3 linked regions of the Mus musculus genome follow. The protein of the gene in region 1 interacts with the protein of each later gene in a biochemical or structural test. Links are inferred from orthologs where the notes say so. Each region holds a gene or a part of one and is shown on either strand. Other genes may lie near its edges.

Evidence for each region.
Region 2: the proteins of Col1a1 (region 1) and Thbs1 form a complex in vitro, tested with the Homo sapiens proteins (2 studies listed by BioGRID). The link is inferred for Mus musculus from reciprocal best matches to the Homo sapiens genes COL1A1 and THBS1.
Region 3: the proteins of Col1a1 (region 1) and Sparc form a complex in vitro, tested with the Homo sapiens proteins (2 studies listed by BioGRID). The link is inferred for Mus musculus from reciprocal best matches to the Homo sapiens genes COL1A1 and SPARC.

What each region holds. Positions count from the first base shown.
Region 1 is NC_000077.6:94,933,785-94,939,964, reverse strand, and holds the start of Col1a1 (collagen alpha-1(I) chain preproprotein), read right to left. Parts: upstream 3,742-6,180; 5' UTR 3,597-3,741; coding exon 3,521-3,596; intron 2,056-3,520; coding exon 1,861-2,055; intron 1,739-1,860; coding exon 1,707-1,738; intron 1,588-1,706; coding exon 1,552-1,587; intron 1,462-1,551; coding exon 1,360-1,461; intron 575-1,359; coding exon 506-574; intron 269-505; coding exon 224-268; intron 62-223; coding exon 8-61; intron 1-7. UniProt on the Homo sapiens protein: Type I collagen is a member of group I collagen (fibrillar forming collagen).
Region 2 is NC_000068.7:118,109,150-118,115,261, reverse strand, and holds the start of Thbs1 (thrombospondin-1 isoform 1 precursor), read right to left. Parts: upstream 3,387-6,112; 5' UTR 3,187-3,386; intron 2,648-3,186; 5' UTR 2,620-2,647; coding exon 2,553-2,619; intron 2,293-2,552; coding exon 1,733-2,292; intron 929-1,732; coding exon 853-928; intron 612-852; coding exon 409-611; intron 315-408; coding exon 192-314; intron 1-191. UniProt on the Homo sapiens protein: Adhesive glycoprotein that mediates cell-to-cell and cell-to-matrix interactions.
Region 3 is NC_000077.6:55,416,695-55,422,925, reverse strand, and holds the start of Sparc (SPARC precursor), read left to right. Parts: upstream 1-2,845; 5' UTR 2,846-3,138; intron 3,139-6,231.

The DNA.
Region 1 (6,180 bases):
AACTTACTGAACCGCCAGGCTCGCCAGGTTCACCAGGGGGGCCTTGGAAACCTTGTGGACCCTGAAGAACACGAGAGAAGGATAGGCTCAGAAAGGCAGGTTCCTCCCGGGCTGTCTCCCTCTTACAAGAGATGTCTACCAGCCTTCTGCCCTCATCCCCATCTCCCCCACCCCCGCAACAGTACATGCCCAAAATGATCCATGAAGACCCTTAGATACGTACAGGTGCACCAGGGGGGCCAGGGAGACCACGAGGACCAGAAGGACCCTACAGAAGGAAAAAGAGGGGCTTTTGATATCTGTGAATAAAGGCAGTATGGCAGAAATCTGTTTCTACCTCTTCCTGTGGGGATCACTGTCTGACTTGCATCTACTGTAGATCTCAAGTCCCTAAGGTGGCCTTTACCTCCCAAGCTATCTGTACCACCCCCTTGCAGGACATCATTGGCCTTTCTCTTCGGGATGCCTATCCTCTGTGTGGTCACTGCTCCCCCTGGTGGCTCACCATGGGGCCAGGCACGGAAACTCCAGCTGATTTTTCATCATAGCCATAGGACATCTGGGAAGCAAAGTTCTAGAAAAACAAGAGAGAATGTGTGAGAAATTGGACTCTGGATGGTAAATTGAAAGCCAGGAGGCATTAGCAGTAATGGGACAAACGGATGTAGGCTTCCGGAAGTAATTAACTCAGGGAGACAGCAATATAGCCTGTAAGATATTCCTGTACCAGACACCTCGACTGAATTTAATCTAACCAGACAATCCCAAACTACAGAAGAACCTATAAAATAACACCCTCTGCCCAACAGCCAGACTCTTCAAAACCTTCCCAAGTCAAGGATGACATAGAGTCTCAGAAACAGTCTACATTTGTGGGAACCAAAGGAATGAGACAATGGAATGCAATTGGCGGTCTTAGACAGGAAGGGGGCGGGAGAAATGCTATAAAGAACATTTTGGGAGGCATTGGTGAAATCTGCAAATGAGATTGCATATCAGGCAATATTAATCAGGCTAGATCAACATTAAATTTGGTGCTATGGTTCCATAGAATGCCCTTGCTCTTAGGAAATGCACTTAAGATCGTAAGTCACGGGCACGTTCTTGGCAACTTATGTCTCAAATGGTCCAGGACATACAGCGACATAGAGAACTGGGTGCCCAGAAAGTGGCAAAGCGGTTGTGTTGAAGAGTGTATAGAAGTTCTATTCTATTCTATTTTCTGTAAGTTTATAATTATTTTAAAATAGAAAACTATGTCTGACAAAACCAAAGCAAAGAAAAACAAACAAACAGACAGACAAACAAACAAACAAAACGGGAAGTCACACCCCTCTGGGGTCTCCAAGATCTACTTACTCCTCCAAGGCCAGGGGGTCCGGGGGGCCCAGGGGGACCAGGAGGACCAGGAAGTCCAGGCTGTCCAGGGATGCCATCTCGTCCAGGGGGGCCAACGGGTCCCTGCACCAAGAGACGGAGGGGGCTGCTATGAGCACAAATCAGAGCCACGCCCCCTCCAGTTTCCCAGCTCATTTAGAATACGATGCTTACCCTTGGGCCTTGGGGGCCAGGGTCTCCCTTGGGTCCCTGTGGGGTTGAGGATGAAGAAACAAAAGGCCGTTAAGAGAAGCAAAGAAAACTGCAGTTTATTGGAGGACAGTGGGGGTCGTGGACGGGTGGGAGGAAAGTAGGGAGCAGATTATTACCTCGACTCCTACATCTTCTGAGTTTGGTGATACTGGGGAGAAAAACGTTCAGTTAGAAGTAAATTTACTAAGGTACCTGGGGGTGTTATAGGCTTTCAAGACATAGGCGAGGGAGGGACTCCAACCTCCCTTAACCCTAGGACCAGAACCGTACCGTATTCTTCCGGGCAGAAAGCACAGCACTCGCCCTCCCGTCTTTGGGGGTTGGGACAGTCCAGTTCTTCATTGCATTGCACGTCATCGCACACAGCCGTGCCATTGTGGCAGATACAGATCAAGCATACCTCGGGTTTCCACGTCTCACCATTGGGGACCCTTAGGCCATTGTGTATGCAGCTGACTTCAGGGACTGAGCAAATGGGAAGAGACACAGGATGTGTGCGGGTCAGAGACCTTACCCCGGAGCACCAGGGATCCCAGCCTTACTCACTCTTTGCCCTGTCTAAGAGGCGCACGGAGACTTCCCACTTCCTGAATCTTTCCCCCCACTCCCTATATTCTTCCCTCAAATCCTTAAATGCAGGTCTGCTCCATATCGGCGACGTTCAGTGACAGCACCAGGGCGCCTGGCCAGGACTATAACGTCCCAGTTCTCAGGAATTTAAACAAAGCTCTAGACTGGGGTTTCTTCCAAACAACTTCAGCCCACGCGCGCGGGAACCAAATGAAATAAAAAAGCCTGCTGAAGGAGAGTAGGAGGGCTCCTACGCAGTAGGTGGGGGCTCGTGGGACGTGGTTTGCGCGGAGACAGGAGGCGGGGGTGGGAGGAGAGAAGGGGAAATTCAGCCCTGGTCCCACCTCCTTTCCCGGGGCAGGTGGGGCGGAATGGGCGGGGCTACAATGTGGAGGGGCTGATTTCAGTGGAGCCCTGTCCAGTGTAGTAAAATGTATCCCTAAAGTTAGATACATCCCAATTTCCAGCTCCCAGGAATCTTGAAAACTTGCTAACTAGACAAGCCGGGTCCTTCAAAGCCAGTAGTGCTTTGGAATCTCCTTAGCCAAAGAAGTCAAGTCTACAAATAGTAATGATGAGTTAACCACGCCCACCGCTCCAGGACCTGATCAAGGCAACCACTAGGTGGCGGGCAAAACTAAGCAATGCAGGGGCGGACCGACTTTTACTCGGCCTGGGTCACTTCTTTCAAAGACCAGAGCTACCCCATCCATCCCTGCTTTTATTTTCCTAGTCTGGAGATGAGGGTCCGCAATAACCCAGGTTTTCCTTCTCAGCCTGTGCGCTGTAAAGTGCTGTACCAGGACTCGTAGTGCTCTCGGCTGGCCAGCAGGAGGCACAGGGACCGCGCCCAGTCAAGTCCTAGCCAAACTTTCTCATCCAGCAACCCGCCCTCTCCGTGCGTCCCCTCCCCCCCCCCCGAGAGCCCAGCACCCCGGAGGCCCCAGCAACACTGTCTAGCCTGCAGAGAGGGCAAACAATCTTTCCTTATGAATCATCCCGCAGCCTTTTTGATAGCTTTTACATCTTGAGCTCCGAATCTCTATTCCAGAGGCCTTATTTCATTTTCGACGTACTCTGCCCCAACCCGTGTCCAGATTCCCACTTTTCCTGTTGTGCTACAGATGGGTGCTTGAAATTTCTTCCTGGGCCATCTCATGCAAGGCTCCACTTCTGAGAACTGCTCCCCCTCATCTGCTCAACAGGGTGACCTCTCTCATCCCGTTTCCTCTCCATCACCGTCCCATCCCTGCCTCTGGAGCAGCCCTGCACCTCCATTTAAGTCTTATCTGCTAGGACCCCTCTATACAGAACGCAATACCAAGAAGCTGTAGTAAACTCCCCAGAGTTTGGAACTTACTGTCTTCTTGGCCATGCGTCAGGAGGGCAGTGGCCCCTAAGAGGAGCAGGAGCCGGAGGTCCACAAAGCTGAACATGTCTAGACCCTAGACATGTAGACTCTTTGCGGCTGGGGTGGGGGGTTAGCTTCGGCTCATGCGTGGCCTCACTCCGCGTGCCTCCTGCTCCGTCCCGAGGAGAAACTCCCGTCTGCTCCGACGACTGGCCTGGGCCCCTTTTATACCATCTTGATGGAGAGCTGGGAGGAACCCTGCCTCTCGGAGAGGGGGAGCCAGCAGCCCGGCCCCCAGCCAATCAGAACTGCCTGGCCCGGCCCCCAATTTGGAACGAAGAGGGGGGAGGAGGGAAAGGAAGGGAAAGGAGTCCACCCAGCGCCCCCCCTCCCGCAACTCTGCCGCCCTTGCCCCCCAGATCTACATGGGCCAGAGGTGCTGTCACTGGAGTGTGGCTGGGCCCTCAGTATACTGAGTGTGGGTAGAGAATACCCCTTGTACTTTCTTTCTGGGACTTCAAATCAGAAGGATGTAGAACTGAGAATCTGAGTTGGGAAACACTACAAAGGGATCAGTGTCAGGAATAATTGGGAAAAGGTCCTCCTGGCCATGCCTAGTAATCTTTCAGGCATCCTGGGGAAGAACTAAGGAATAAGTTAGATTAATCTGATTAGAACCTATCAGCTAAGCAGATGTGCCTGTTGGAGGGAGGGGATCACCTCATGGTGTGGACCCAGGAATGGAGGGTAGGAATATTTGTGAACAGTTATACATCTCTTCACAGATACTAAGAGTCAGATATGTGGTGGTTTGAAAGGAAGGGGGTGCCTATCTGTTCTGCCATGCCAGACACACCTTTCTAATAAATAACAGCTCTGAGGCTGAGGCTTGGGGAGACCTTTGACATCCTTGTCCTTCCAGAAGAATGCTTATGCATTAAGTGATGAGCAGCAGTGTGGGCAGGGGGCTTTCTGGGTCCTCAAAGCTGGGGCCTGGGGCATGTTGTATAAATTCTTCTCTGACCTCCTCCATCCCAGCACTGGGATGTGAGTTTGTTGCAGGAAGCCTGTGACCAGGGATGTTTTAGAAAAAGGTCTTGTGTCAGCTGTGGCCACAGCCAGAGATTTGTTAGAGGCCCTCTTATGTAGCAATATCAATGCAGAATGAACAGGTAGAAGGTACTTGGCCATAGAGGGGTGTTCTCAAAGCTACAGAGAGCCCTCTTTTCTAATTGTACTTGGATGTGGTCTGGGGACACCTAGGTGAACTCAGTGTGTGGCAGAAACTTGTGTTTGGTAGCTGAGGGACTTTATTTAATGGTTTCTTCCCATGTCCTCACTTCTTTGCTGAAAATCTTGGCCATTGCTCCCCACCTCTGCCGTCAGGAAAGGGTCATCTGTAGTCCCCCAAGAACAGCAGCTTATATTTAAAGTTGTCGCTAAAAGACAGTGTCCGTTCTTCCCCGGTGCTCCCTGCACCCTGCAAAGGTGCTCTGTCCAATCTGCTTAGGAACTTCATCTTGTCAAACTGTGTGGGTGGTGTGGGAAGGCACTGGGGTCTCCTTGCAGGGCCCATAGACATCCTGTATCACTTCCCCCACCGGCTTCTTTAGAGCTGTAAACGTGGAAGCAGGGAGTCCCGCCTCCTCCAAACCATCCAAGATTCCATTGCTCCCCCCCCCCCCTTCACGCCCTCCCTGAGCTAGTTTTGTGCAACGAAGGCAAAGGGAAAAAAAAAAAAGACCAAGGGAACAGAAGGGGAGGGAGCCACGTCGCTGGCCGTGGGCAGCTAGGCCGAGCAGTGCGGGTGGGGTGGCGGAGGGAGACTGCAGGGGCTATAATTAAAGGGAAAATATAGAGTTTCCAGAGAAGCAGAGCTGGAGACAGCAATGGAAGGACAGGACTTCATCAATTATCCCAACCATGTGGCAGTAACTTGTGGCCCAGGATCTGCCCCCGCCTAATGCCAGTGCCTGTAGGGCAAGGCTGGGGCTGAGATGCTGAGATGGTAGTTCCGGAACTCACCAAAGTCCTGCCTTCCACTGTGGTCAGTTCCAAAGGATGCCCCACTCCCCAACAGTGGACAAGGATGGTGTACCTCAGAGGGAACAGGTGTTTGAGGTGGCTGTGTCCAGGGTAGAATGCCACGAAGCGTGCGCACACACACACACACACACACACACACACACACACACACGCGCGCGCGCGGTGTGATCTGCTCACCCTTTGTTGGGTTTTGTATCAGAAAAGCACTTATCCAAAGCTCCCTTTCCCTGCTCCCAATCTAGCATCCCCAAGGCTCACCTGGAAGAAGAGACAAGAGCCTAACAGGTATGAACTGGTGATTGCTACATTAAGGGCCTGAGGTTCTGATGGAAACTTGGAGACCACTAGAATGGGTGTGGGGGAGATTGGTGTGTGTGCATTCAGTGACAGCCGTCACCCTGTGTCTGATTTCCAGGCCTTTGCCCCAGGAGTTGAAGGCAATGGGTTCCAAGCTTCCTTTACACGTGGCATGGAGCTGCAGCTCAGGACCTCCTCTGCCACTCTCTACTTGAAACGATTGGCGGGTGCCCAGCTCAGAGATGTGTCTTTAATTTCTGCAGCATGACAGAGAGAGGAAGAATGTGCTTGGGGTCTCCTCCCAGCCTGGCGGGGCCTCCCTGGCT
Region 2 (6,112 bases), on another chromosome or scaffold:
CTCAGCCTGGGGTATTATTAAGATAAACCTTCTGAGATTTAAAGAGGAATTTGCAGATGTCATTACATATTAAAGAAAAAAAAATCACTTTGGTAGCAGGCCAGAGCACATTTAAAAATGTGTGTAGTCATTTACGTATCTCCCGAGACATATGTCTCCAAGTCTTATTGCAGTCTGTGAGTGTCTCTTACCTGGCAGTGACACTCTGTGCAACTGTCTACAGTCCACTCCTCGTTGTTCTTGTACTGGACTCCATTGTGAAAGCAGAGGGGAGGCCGCTTCAGCTCACTGACCAGCTCTCTGTTCTCTTCCGTCTGAAAGGGGAGAAGGCTCATGAGTGTCCAGGCTCCCATGGGACCACCTGTGGTGATTTCCAAGAGCTGGCAAATGGGAGGGGAAGCCACTGACCACTTTTCGGATGCTGTCCTGCAGAGTGGTCACGATGGTGCGCAGGCCCTTCAGTTCCAGGACCATGCTGGATAGTTCATCACAGGAGAGGCCACAGATAGCTTGGAGGTCCTTTGTTTTGTGGCCGATGTAGTTGGTGCGGATAGCAGGGCTGGAACCGTTCACCACGTTGTTGTCAAGGGTAAGAAGGACGTTGGTAGCTGCTAAGAAATAAGATGTAACGTATTCGATAGCTGATTCAAGGTTTCAACAGCTGATCCCACCAGCCTACCCTTCGGGTTCTGGGTTATAAAAGACATTTCCTTTGGAATGACAGAGTGGGTGCGAGCCAACTCTGCTCCCCCTGAGATATTGTGTATGCACCCTACTGCTTACATTAATCAGGGTGCTTTCGGTGGACTTCCCCAGAATTCTCCAAATCTTAAAAAACACAGGGGTACTCACAGCTGGAGCAGCCTTTGTTCCTGAGAATGTCTTCTGGGGTGGTTCCAAAGACAAACCTCACATTCTGCAGCACCCCCTGTGGGCAGAGGACAGACGTGGTTTAATGCTGGGCGTGGGGGTGGGGCGGCCAGTCTGAGTTTGCTTGTGGTGAACGCTCAGAAAGTTTAAAAGAACTTAAGATCATCCTGCCAAACTATCACAGAGACATAAATTGCCGAACAACTTCAAAATCTTAATTGTGTCTTCTGCCAACTGGAGCATTTTACAAAGAATCCAGTTTTCAGGCTGCTTGGGGTACACAGGAAATGGAATTTGATCCCAAGTCTGGAGGACATGATACTCTCCAGTGACAAAGAGTTAATGTGGGCGTTCAAAGCCACGCTTGTAAGAAAAAAAAATATCTGAAAGTTAAGGCAAGTAAGGAGTCCCAGAGGCACATGACTGGACTGTTATTCATGTCTTGCCTTAGATCCATACTGAAAGCACCCAGAACACCCTGCCCAGGGACTCAAATACTGACAAAGTATCCTTTTCATGCCCTATTAAAACTGCTAGGTACATTTGATACAAGTTACTTTCCTAAGGGCACAGGGAGTACCCCATTCTGAAACAGGCTGAGTGTAATAGGAAAACCATTTCTTATCTCTCCTGATAGCTTTGAAAGCATGGGTCCCAGGTCCTGGCACCATTACAACTTATTTCTTATTAGGAACAAAATTTCTCGGGTCCCTATCAAATCTGAAACCCTGGAGTTTTGGGTCATCTGTAATATGATTTAACCAACCTTCTGGGGGTGTCTGTTCCTCTTTACATTTGAGAATCATTTTTAGTCTACCGATATTAATTCCACATAGCCCTTGTGACAGGTAAGAAGATTTACCTGAAAATTGTCATTGACATCTCCCTTTGCAACTCGGAGCCTGGCAACGCTGGCCAGATCCCTGGTGAAGATGCTCTGGATGGGTACATCCAGCTCCGCGCTCTCCATCTTATCACAGTCTATGTAGAGTTGAGCCCGGTCCTCTTGAACAAACAGCGTGATGCTCTTCCACTGGCCAGTGGCCAGGAGAGCTTCCTCCACTGACACCACTTGTTGCTTCCCTGGCAGGCTCAGGCTCAGGTCCAGGGTGCCAGCTTTGCCGTTGGAGACCACACTGAAGATCTGGCCAGTGTTGTCTTTCCGTTCCACAGCCAGGAGTGTGCCCCGGGTCTTCTTCATCTGCCTCAAGGAAGCCAGGAAGATGAAGCCTTTGTCGGCCCACACAGCGTCCAGTAGGTCTTGGAACTTGTCATCCGGCACAGCGGGGATCAGGTTGGCATTCTCAATGCGGAAGGCGGGGCTGGATAGATCTTGGCCCTTCACCAGTCGGCGACCGGGGCCCCTTCGTGCACCTCCAATGAGTTCAAAGATGTCAAACACACCGTTATCTCCCCCAGACTCTGTAAGGAGAGAGAAGACAATCGGCTTTCTAGGCTAGGTATAAGGGGGTAAAGTTCTGGCTGTGAGGAGCCAAGGTGGGAACTCGTGACAATAATGGCAATTATGGAAAGCTGAGCGAGGGAAGCTGCATCCTTATCAGGAGATAAGGACTCCAAGGAAACACAGGAGCTATCGAGAGAGAGAGAGAGAGAGAGAGAGAGAGAGAGAGAGAGAGAGAGAGAGGAGAAGGGGGAGGAAAATGAATATATCACAAACTCACCTGGAATGCGGTTGCTTCCACACATATGCAACAGGAACAGGACACCTAGTCCCCGCAGGAGCTCCATGGTGGAGCCTTTGTGCCCAACACGGAGCCTGTAGCAAGAAGCACAGGAGGCCAGAGTCAGAGACCAGGAAGCAAGGTGGAAGGGCAGAGGTGTGTGTGTGTGTGTGTGTGTGTGTGTGTGTGTGTGTGTGTGTGTGTTTCTTCTTTTGCCCCATATGTGCTGAAAAAGAAGGGTTTACTTTCCAAACGGTATCCAGTATAAAAAGAGCGCCAGAGGCAGGGGGATTGTTGGAGTTCCAGGATAAAGGGTATAAAGTGACTTGGGTCCGTCCCCTCCCCCCCGCCCCTTTAGACAAGATTACAGAATGTATTTTGGATGGCGACAGTCAGGGGTAACCTGGAGACTACTGGGGAGAAAATCTTGGGGTGTCTTGGAGGTATAGTTTGTGAACCCGAAGGCTGAAGAGAACCAGCTCCGGAAAGTTCTTTCCAGGGGATAGACGGGGCAGGATAAAGGAGTTAGGAAAACCAGAAGGGGAAGAGTAGGAGATGAGGAGTAGCGCTGATCATCTGCAGCCTGGGGCTTTGAGGTGGCCGGCCAGGTGCTCCGCAGAGGCGGGAGGTTTACCTGTGTGCACCGGGGCTCAGTAACCCGGAGAGGTGGCAAAGGTGAAGTGAAGGACAAGGACGCTGAGTCCGGTGAAGACGCTGAGACTGCCGGTGCGCCGGGAGAGACCGTGGCAGAACTGGATAGCAGCTTCGCGATTGCCTGCAGAAGTCCGATGAGGCTGGCTGACTCCAGGCAGTGGCTGGCTTGACTGAGGAGCCCAGGACCTTTTAAAGAGGCAGGAAGCAGGGAGGGGGGAGGGTTCTCGGGGGCGGGGGCGGGGGACGGGGACGGACGGGTTCATTTCTCCGCCCCCTGCTGCTTGGCGCACAGCTCTCGGGCTGAAAGTGAAGGGGGAGACTCCGATCCCGCACAGGAGCCCTGGAACTTGTCAGAAAAATAGGTCTCCGCCCACGCAGCCTTGGCGTACTCAGCCTTTAGCGCTTAGGATCTTGCGCCATGTGAACTGGAGACGTTCTGCATGAGAGTCCCCAGACGCGATGCTTCTTTGGGGACCACCTAAGACCCTTTAGGGAGGCTTTCATTAAAGCACATCTCCTTGAATAATTCCATGACAGAGACGCTTGGGGATCGAGACAGTCTGGTTTAAAAATAAAAGAGGGCAAAAGGTTGGACCCCTTAAAGGAAGCTGCCTCCTGAGTCAATCCTGGTGGGTGGGGGATCCCATGTCATCTATACTTTGCGCTTCACTCCTGTCCCGCACGCCTGCCTTCCGTCTGACTCACTAAGGGTGTCAGCACGGTGTTGCACAGGGCCAGCAGGACCGTGCACGGAGGTCGCCTTCCGACTCACTGTCCAAGTCGAGAGTTTTTTCCCCAGTTCTACTTTGCTTCCTCAGATGGCCGCTTGGGGGCGGTATATGTATTCTGATTTAGGGGATCCTTTCGGAGAGTTTTTAGCGGCATTTTAAGGAAGCGAATTTATATCCCGCTCCCTCAAGGCAAAATTGAAATTGTGTCTTGAAAAACAATTTTGTGCCCACTCGTGTTTCTTAACGTGACTCCCGATAGGAGAATTTGCTGAACCATCTGGCTCCAGGATCTTACACTATTTACAGAACGGACCCGTAGAGTTATAAATTACTCTCTACCTATTATTTTATTTCCCATCTTTCTCCCTAAACAGTTTTTTTTTCATTTTTTCGGCTCCCAAAACCGAGGTGTGGTTTACATTTCTGTGGGTATACACTTTTCCATCAGTAGACTGCTGCCTGATCCTTTGTCTCTGAAGTCTGGTCTCAATGCCATCGGTCCGGAGCCAAGATGACTCCAGCTGCCTGGAATTCCATTCATCTCTTTGGGAAGGGACGTCAGCGGCGGCGATGCTTCTCCAGCTGTGGCCCTGCGTGAGCAGGCTTGGCTCTGAGTCCAGGGATCCAGGTAAAAGCATCACCAAATAAGGATCTTGGCAGAATCAGGGCGGGGCCGGCTGAGGGACAGCTGGGGCTCCCTCCCCTTATCAGTTACACCTGGCTGGACTCCCAAACCTTGGAAACACCCAGGACTTTATGCTCATCACACAGCAATTTCACTTTCCTTGTGTGGGAGGGAGTGTTCGGTGACAAGGTGTGTGAGTGTGCGTGGTATGTGTGCGTACACGCAAGGAGGGGCTTACAGAGTGTTTCCTAGTTACTCCGGGTACACAGCTACACAGCCAGTGCCTCTTGTAGATAAGTACGTTCCCAAGATGTGTTTGTTTATTAGACTTCAGATACTCAGAGCCAGCAGTAAAAGTTTCTACTGGTTGATTAGTCAAGTTAGATTCCTGCCCTTGAAGTCACAGGCCCTGACTCAGCCACTGAATCTGAAGATTCGGGATCATCAGGCAGGCTTGCTCTTCGCTTCCAGTTCCTTCCGCAGGTCCTCTTTGCTTTGTGGAAGGCGATTGCTTTAAATATCCTGCTCAGCACTAATTCTTCCTGCAGGAACCTTTGGGACTGCCCTGGGAGGGCTGGTCTTGAGACCCTCTTTCCTCATGAGTTTTGTACCACAGAGGTGAATGTCAGCGGCCCACAGACAAGAGCTTCTCTCCTTGTGTAAAGCCACCAACTTCCCTAGGCCCAGCTACACCTTGCTGATGGATCAGGAGCAATCAGGGTCTGCCCCTTTGGGCCATGTGCTGTCCAGACTGAGGGGGTGTGGACAGTTTGTAACTTGGCTCCTTTCAACAACACAATACAAGTTTTGACCTCCTCCACACCTTTCAGATAAGGCATTATGGGAGAGCTTTGTTGTACTGAAAGCTGGCAGTGGCCTAGGAGATGTTGAATACAAACATAGAGTCTTTCCCTAAACACAGCATGACAATCCAGCTGTCCTGGTTTGCAGGAGATGAGGTTCCTAGGCAGCTATGAGGTCTCACCCATATTCCCAATCACCACCACCCAAAGTCCCGATCATCATGTGCTGTGAGCAGATGACAGAAATTCAGCACACTCTTGGGATGTTGTAGAGAAGCAAGGGAAAAAGCAGGAGTTACTATCTTTAGTAGGGAGAATACAGTCTGTCTGTGTGAGTTCATATGTGTGTGTGTGTATATGTGCATGTGTATGTGTTTATGTGTGTGTTTGTGTATGTGTGTGTATGTGCATATGAGCATGTGTGCATGTATATGTTTGCCTGTGTGTACGCTACCCCCTTCTTGTGTGTGTGTGTCTCCTCAGTGAGTGCAAGCATGGATCCCCTCCTGCTTCTATACCTTATGTCTATTATTTTCACTTGTCTTCCATCCACCCTTCCTGTTAGGCCTCATGGTCCTCTGTCATAAATCCTACTTTCGTGCCCTCTCCCATTTAAATATAGATTGTGCATACTAGAGAAACTGTGACATTTGTCTTTCTAAGCCTGTCTTATCTCACTTAACATAATGATCTCTAGTTGCATCCATTTTCCCACAAATGTCATAACTTCATTATTCTTTATGGCTG
Region 3 (6,231 bases), about 40 Mb from region 1:
CACACACACAGAGAGAGAGAGAGAGAGTTCCCATTTTGTAAGGGTCATCAGAAAATCTATGTAAAACAACTTGGTTCATTGCTTGGTCCAAAGCATGTGTTTAAGAAATGCTATTCAACTGCTTCTTCCAGTTCTCCAATGAAAAATATATGTAGCTGAGACAGGGCTAGGAATGAGCACAGATTTACTTTGTAGATTAAAGGGTTTCGAGGTGTTCTAGTGTTGTTGGAGACTTAGTGGCAGATAGGGAGCTCAACCAGGCTTCCTTTGCCTCTTCCTTCCCTCCCTGGGAAGCCCCGAGTGAGGCAGGAGGCCCAGCCCTCTCTTCTGTCCCCTGTCATGATCAGGGTCAGTCTTTCTGCAGGACTTCTGCGCCTTGGCATGCTTTAATTCTAAATTCAAATCCTCTGGGGACTTCAATCATTCTCTTTTTTTCCTCTTATTTGTTTGTGTGTTTGTGGCAGGGGGTGGAGTGAGAACACCACAGTGGGTAAACCGGGGGAGGGGGGGGAGGAGAAAAAGAACAGCTTGCAGCAGCTGTAGGGTCTTCCCTTCCTCTGTGTGGGCTTCGGATTAGGACTCAGCTTCTCATGCTTGGTGACAAGCATCTTTACCTGCTGAGCCACCTGGCTGGCCGGTGAGATTCTGGATCTCTGTCCTCCCAGGAACCGTCAGTAGCATTCCCACAAACTGCATCCCCAGCCCCAAACAGGTTTCCAACTCTTGCACTCCAAGTGAACTTGTTCTATCTTTGGTCTAACTTTGGTATGACCCAAAGTCTGTACTAGGTATAGTTCTTTTTGCTTAGTTTGAAGCACGAGGCTTCAGTTAATTTAAGTCTCCTCAATGCCCAGAGCTGCAGTAAGCAATCCTGTGGAAATAGACATCGGTCCTATGGGCAGAGCAGATGCTTAGGGAGTCTATTGGAACCCCAAATTTGGTGGCCTAAAGCTCCCAGTTGTTGGATCAAGGAGAAGACTCAGGAGTCTTATGTAGGTGCAAAAGTCTCCTTAGGATTCTTCACAGGCCCTTTGGAGAGAGAACCTGAAGGAAGCCATAACTCTTCTCTGCAGAAAAATGTGCGGGTACTCAGGAGGTCTGAGGGTCTCTGTCCCAGACTGGAACCCTAAGAAAAGAGTCCCTTCTGTTTTCTTCAGGCGGGATAGTGGAAGGCCACTCACTGATTACAAACAAAGCAAAACTAACTAAAAACCTTTCGGACAGATGCATGAAAGCCCCCATTTTCCTGGGCTGCTTGTCAAGGGAAGGCAGCAGATGGTGCTATACGGTATGGGAGGGAGGGAGATGATGTTGAGGTGTCTACTTCCTGTGAGAGAGGCAAGGAGACTTATATGTTGAGTGGACAAGGAGGGCTTATCTAAGGAGGTGACATTAGAATAGAGTTCTGAAGGATGAGAAAGGTCCAGGCTCAGGAAAGGTCCAGTCCAAACTGCTTTGGCTGGAGAGCAGGAGGAGTGTGGTAGATGAGGGCGTGGCAGGGAAGGCAGGGATCCTGGTGTGTATAAGCTTATCTCTAGACTGTTCTTTTACCTTCTCCAGTCCCCTGTTATCCAAACTCAATGGCTGCTTCGATATCTACGCTTTCAGGAAGTTTCTGCTGATCTGACCCCCTGGGAGAAGCCTTGGGGTCTGCATCACTGAGGAAGTGGTTCTGCACATGAGGTGCATCCCTTTAGCCACACCCCAAACTCCTGCCACCACGTCTATTCTGGTACCTCCCCAGGTAGGCAGGCCCAAAATGTTCAGTCAAGAGCTGCTGCATAGATGAGGAGTGTCCATGTTCCCCAAAGAAGAGTGGGGCTGAAATGTAGACTCAGCGTTCTCAGACCACTTTTGGTCAGGTGTTACTGGGTAAGCTGTTTGCCCTGCGTGAGCCTGTGCCCCTGTTATTAAAATGGCCTCTTGGGACCGGAGAGATGGCTCAGCGGGTAAGAGCACTGACTGCTCTTCCAGAGGTCCTGAGTTCAATTCCCAGCGACCACATGGTGGCACACAACCATCTGTAATGGGGTCCGATGTCCTCTTCTGGTGTGTCTGTCTGGGCTGCAAATGCAGCTTCATTGGTAGCATGCTTGCTTAACAATCATTAACACCCCCCCCTGCCCCCCCCCCGGCCCCGAGGTCAATCCTCAGCACTAAATAAAATAGTCATGGTAGGTAGCACACACATGTAATCCTAGCACCCTGGAAGTAGATAGAAGTAGGAAGATCAATAGTTCAAGGTCATCCTCAGCTACATAGTGAGTGGTCAGCCCAGGCTACGTGCGACCTCTTCCAAAACCAAACAACACCTAAATGAAAGGCCTGTGGCTTCCCCACCAACCCTGCTATTGCTTCTGATCTGACTATCAGTATTATTGCTCTGAGTTTGTCAGGTACTGACAGCGCAAGTCTTCCAGCTTAGTTCTAATCCTTCACGTACCCGTGGTTGGTGCCACTAGACCTAGAGGGGACTTCGCCTCGTTATCAAGGATGATGCCACCAGTATCACCAGTGGCAGCTTGTTTTGTTGGCACTGAGAAAACTGGGTACTTTTGCTCCCCCACTGCCATGCCAGCGTGCACTCTCTGCCTTGCTGTACATTGCTAAGCCCAAGAGAGTGCTCAGGCAAGTTCACTCGCTGGCTGTGTGTAAAGTAGGACAAGGGGCTTAGCCGTGCCTCTGTGACTCTCTCTCTCTCTCTCTTCTCTCGGTTAATGTCTAGGACTCTTCAGTCAGCAGCCTCGGCTCTGAACAAGGCCTGGCCTGTTCTAGGTGATTCCAGCAGCTGTTCCAGCCCTGACCCTCATGTCTGTTTAGGCAGGAGCCCCAGAACAGATGAGACAGGTGGGGCCAGGGTGTCTGGGTAGCACACAGCCTACCACAAGGCAAGGAAGGGAGAAAGAAAAGACAGCTTTGGTTCTGGGGAGAAGGGGGAGGCAGGCCAGGGGAAGGAGGAGACAGAGGAGGAGGAGGGCCTTTGAGTGGAGGCGGAGGGTGAGACAGACCCTGCCCAGAGCTCCAAGAGGCTTCCTGCTGCTCGCCTCTAAACCCCTCCACATTCCTGCAGCCCTTCAGACCGCCAGAACTCTTCTGCCGCCTGCCTGCCTGCCTGCCTGCCTGCCTGCCTGTGCCGAGGTATGCACCTCCCTGTCAGCCCCTGCCCTTCTGTAAGCTTCATCATCTCCTCTCTGCCCCATCCCCATGACCAGTCTCAGGGGGAGGTGAGCTGGAAACCTGTTGCTCACTCACAGGGGAACTTGTTGTCTCTGTAGCACTGCAGAAAATAGCCATGGTTTGCGGGGACCGCTTTCTCTGTGTTCTCTGGTGGCAGAGGCTACTGGTCTGTCCTCTGTCACCCTCGGAGGCAGCTGCCTCCTTTTCTGAGAATCCGATCCTCATTTGCCCATCATGACTGCCAACCCAGAGAAAATCTGGCTGGCAGCCTGTTGGGTCTGGCTTCCTATTCTGGGAGAACAGACATCCAGTTCTGGGTCAGAGCACTGTTGTCCAAATGGGACTTTGCAAGAAGGATAAACAGATCTGTAAACAGCCAAGGCAAGACATTCCCTTTAGTCAGTTCCTCTGGGAAGGCTCTGGTCCCTTCAATCTCTGTCCACCCCCACCCCATCACCCCGTGGCATTTCAGTCAGTCTGAAATGCCATTGTCTCTCCCAGCCTGGGGTTGCCATTGTTCCCAGCCTAATTCTGAGAGGTGGTCATCACTGGCATTAACATTGCTTCTACCGTATCTAGACATCTGAGAAAGCCAACAATTTGATACAATCCAGAGACGACAGGGAGGAGGGTGTGATGGGGAGGAGGGAGACAGAGAGATATAGCTCCAGGACACTTTTCTTGCTACTACTGAATCTATCCAAGACTCAGCCTGTTGAAAGCTTGTCTGCTCCAAGCTGTTCTGTAAACTTCCTGTGACTCCTAGAATGGCTGGAAATAAGCCTCACCTAAGGGGGACAAACAGGTATCAGGCATCTGCCTCAGGGACAGACAGCACACCTGCAGGGAGGGAGTGTCTCCACTGACAACTCTTTTAAGTTTCTAGAACCTTCCTAGTGTAGGGAGTGGAGTGAGATGCGGACCCTACATGAGGTAACAAGCTTTAGGCAATTTGTGGGCGATCTCACATAGCCATCTCCCCTGAGTGTAGCCTTCCTGTCCTAAGGAAGAGGGATAGCTTTTGGGGTACCCGAATTCCCCTAAGACTTCCCAAGCAGGGTCACTTAATTGAGCCTATAAAGTGGTCTACGAATAAGCAACTTCAAAGAGTCTCTGGAATTAGTGTGTGTATGTGAGTGCGCGTGCATGAGTGTTTCTGTTTGTGTTTAAGAGATGATGGGTGTCCACAGCTTTTAGGTTTAAGATATTCCCAAACAGATGCAGACCCCCAGAATGGTGTGACGGTGTAAGGTGTAATTCGGAAATAGAAACAAATTTGTATTTGCCAAGGATTAAACCTGAAAGAAGTGGTTGAGGGAAGAGTTAACTCTGGTTAACTTAGCCATCGGCTGCCACATCGACAGAGCGGCACTGAGGGAGGGGGAGGGGGTGGGGTGGCTCTGGGAGAAGGAGTCAGCTTTTGAAACTTTCTCCAAGCCCCACCCACCAAGAGGCTCTTCTCTCCCGTGACTCACTCCGAGAGGAATGCGAGTTGCCACGGCAACCTCCCCCACCCCCCCACCCTAGGGTCTCTGCGTACTGGCTGGGAGGGGACTCTGGGAACGCTCAGGGACCTTTAGGTTCCAGTCCCCCCAAACCGCTGCCACGGCTGCCGCCACCGCACCTCACCCCTGCCCCAGATACAAGGACCACAGCAAACTCTTGCCCTGTCCCCATTTCCCACGTCCCAGGGCCCCCAGGACTGTGATAAGCCTCGCTAGATCTGCCCTTTGCAGGACAGAGGGTTTGGATCTGTGCTTAGTGTCATTTGGCCTTGAACTAATCTGTCTTCCGGAACTCCGGTTTCCTCCCTATTTCGGGTAAAAGCAGCAGTCCCTCGGAGAAGGGGCAGGATGAAACGGGCTAAAGCATGCCCTGGGGGAGCACTTTGCAACCTCACTCCCTTCTAAAGAGACTAAGATTCTTAGCACAAAGGGGATTGTTCAAAGTCCTTTTTCTTCTGGCTGCTCCAACATTTGGGGTCCAGAGAACATCTTCTTAGTAAAAAGTGGTGACAGGAATATTTTTAAAAATACATTGCTTAAATTCATTTCAATTTGGGGGATCTTCTTGTCAGTTTCTCAAGAGTAATGCATCCTCCCCTAGAGAAAGACTGGTGATCAAGTGCTTGCTGCATCAGCCTGAGGACGCCAGGTTTTTTCCTTACCCCCCACCTGGGGAGCCAGGTGTGGTGACCCATGTCTCTAATCCCAGTGCTACCAGAAACAGGCCAGTCTGTAGAGCTCACTTGGCTGACTCATTAGCTTCGGGTTAGTAAGAGACCCTGTCTCAAAATATAAGGTAGTGGGGTTTAGTGGCACTCGCCTTTAATCTCAGCACTTAGGAGGGAGAGGCAGGCTGGTCTTTGGGAGGTAGAGACCAGCCTGGTCTATATAAGTGAATTCCAGACTACTGAGGGATTTGGAGAAAGATCTTGTCTCAGAAAAACAAAGAAAAGGTAAAGAACAACTGAAAAAGACATTGACTTCTGGCTTACACACATACACACACACACACACACACACACACACACACACACACACACCATATATACATCACACACAGACATGGAAGGAAGGAAGGAAGGAAGGAAGGAAGGAAGGAAGGAAGGAAGGAAGAGAGGGAGGGTATTGGTCAAAAGCATGGGTTACAGCTCAATGGTGACATTGGGAAAGACGCTAACCTGTCTTAGCCTCAGTTTCCCAATCTGTCAGGTGGGGATGATCTGAGCTAGATGTTCTCTGAATGAACCCAGTCCCAGTCACTGGTTTCCTTAGAAGGAGCAGCATCCTGCATGTTTAACAGCAGCCTCCTTTCTTGATTTAGGAGAGGAAATAGGAAGAAGGCTCGGGAGGCACTATCCTCAATCCAGCTGTGGGCTCTGCAGCCCAATGCACAGCTGGGCTTGCTATTTCCAGCGGCAGCTTTCCGTGTTGAAAATAAGCTTTAAGCAGCAGAGGATACGAGGCAAAGCATGTTTGCCTGTGGAAGTCTTTTAGGCCAGCAGATGAGTCTGGGGAGATAAACTGGCAAATGCGAACACATGGGGCACAG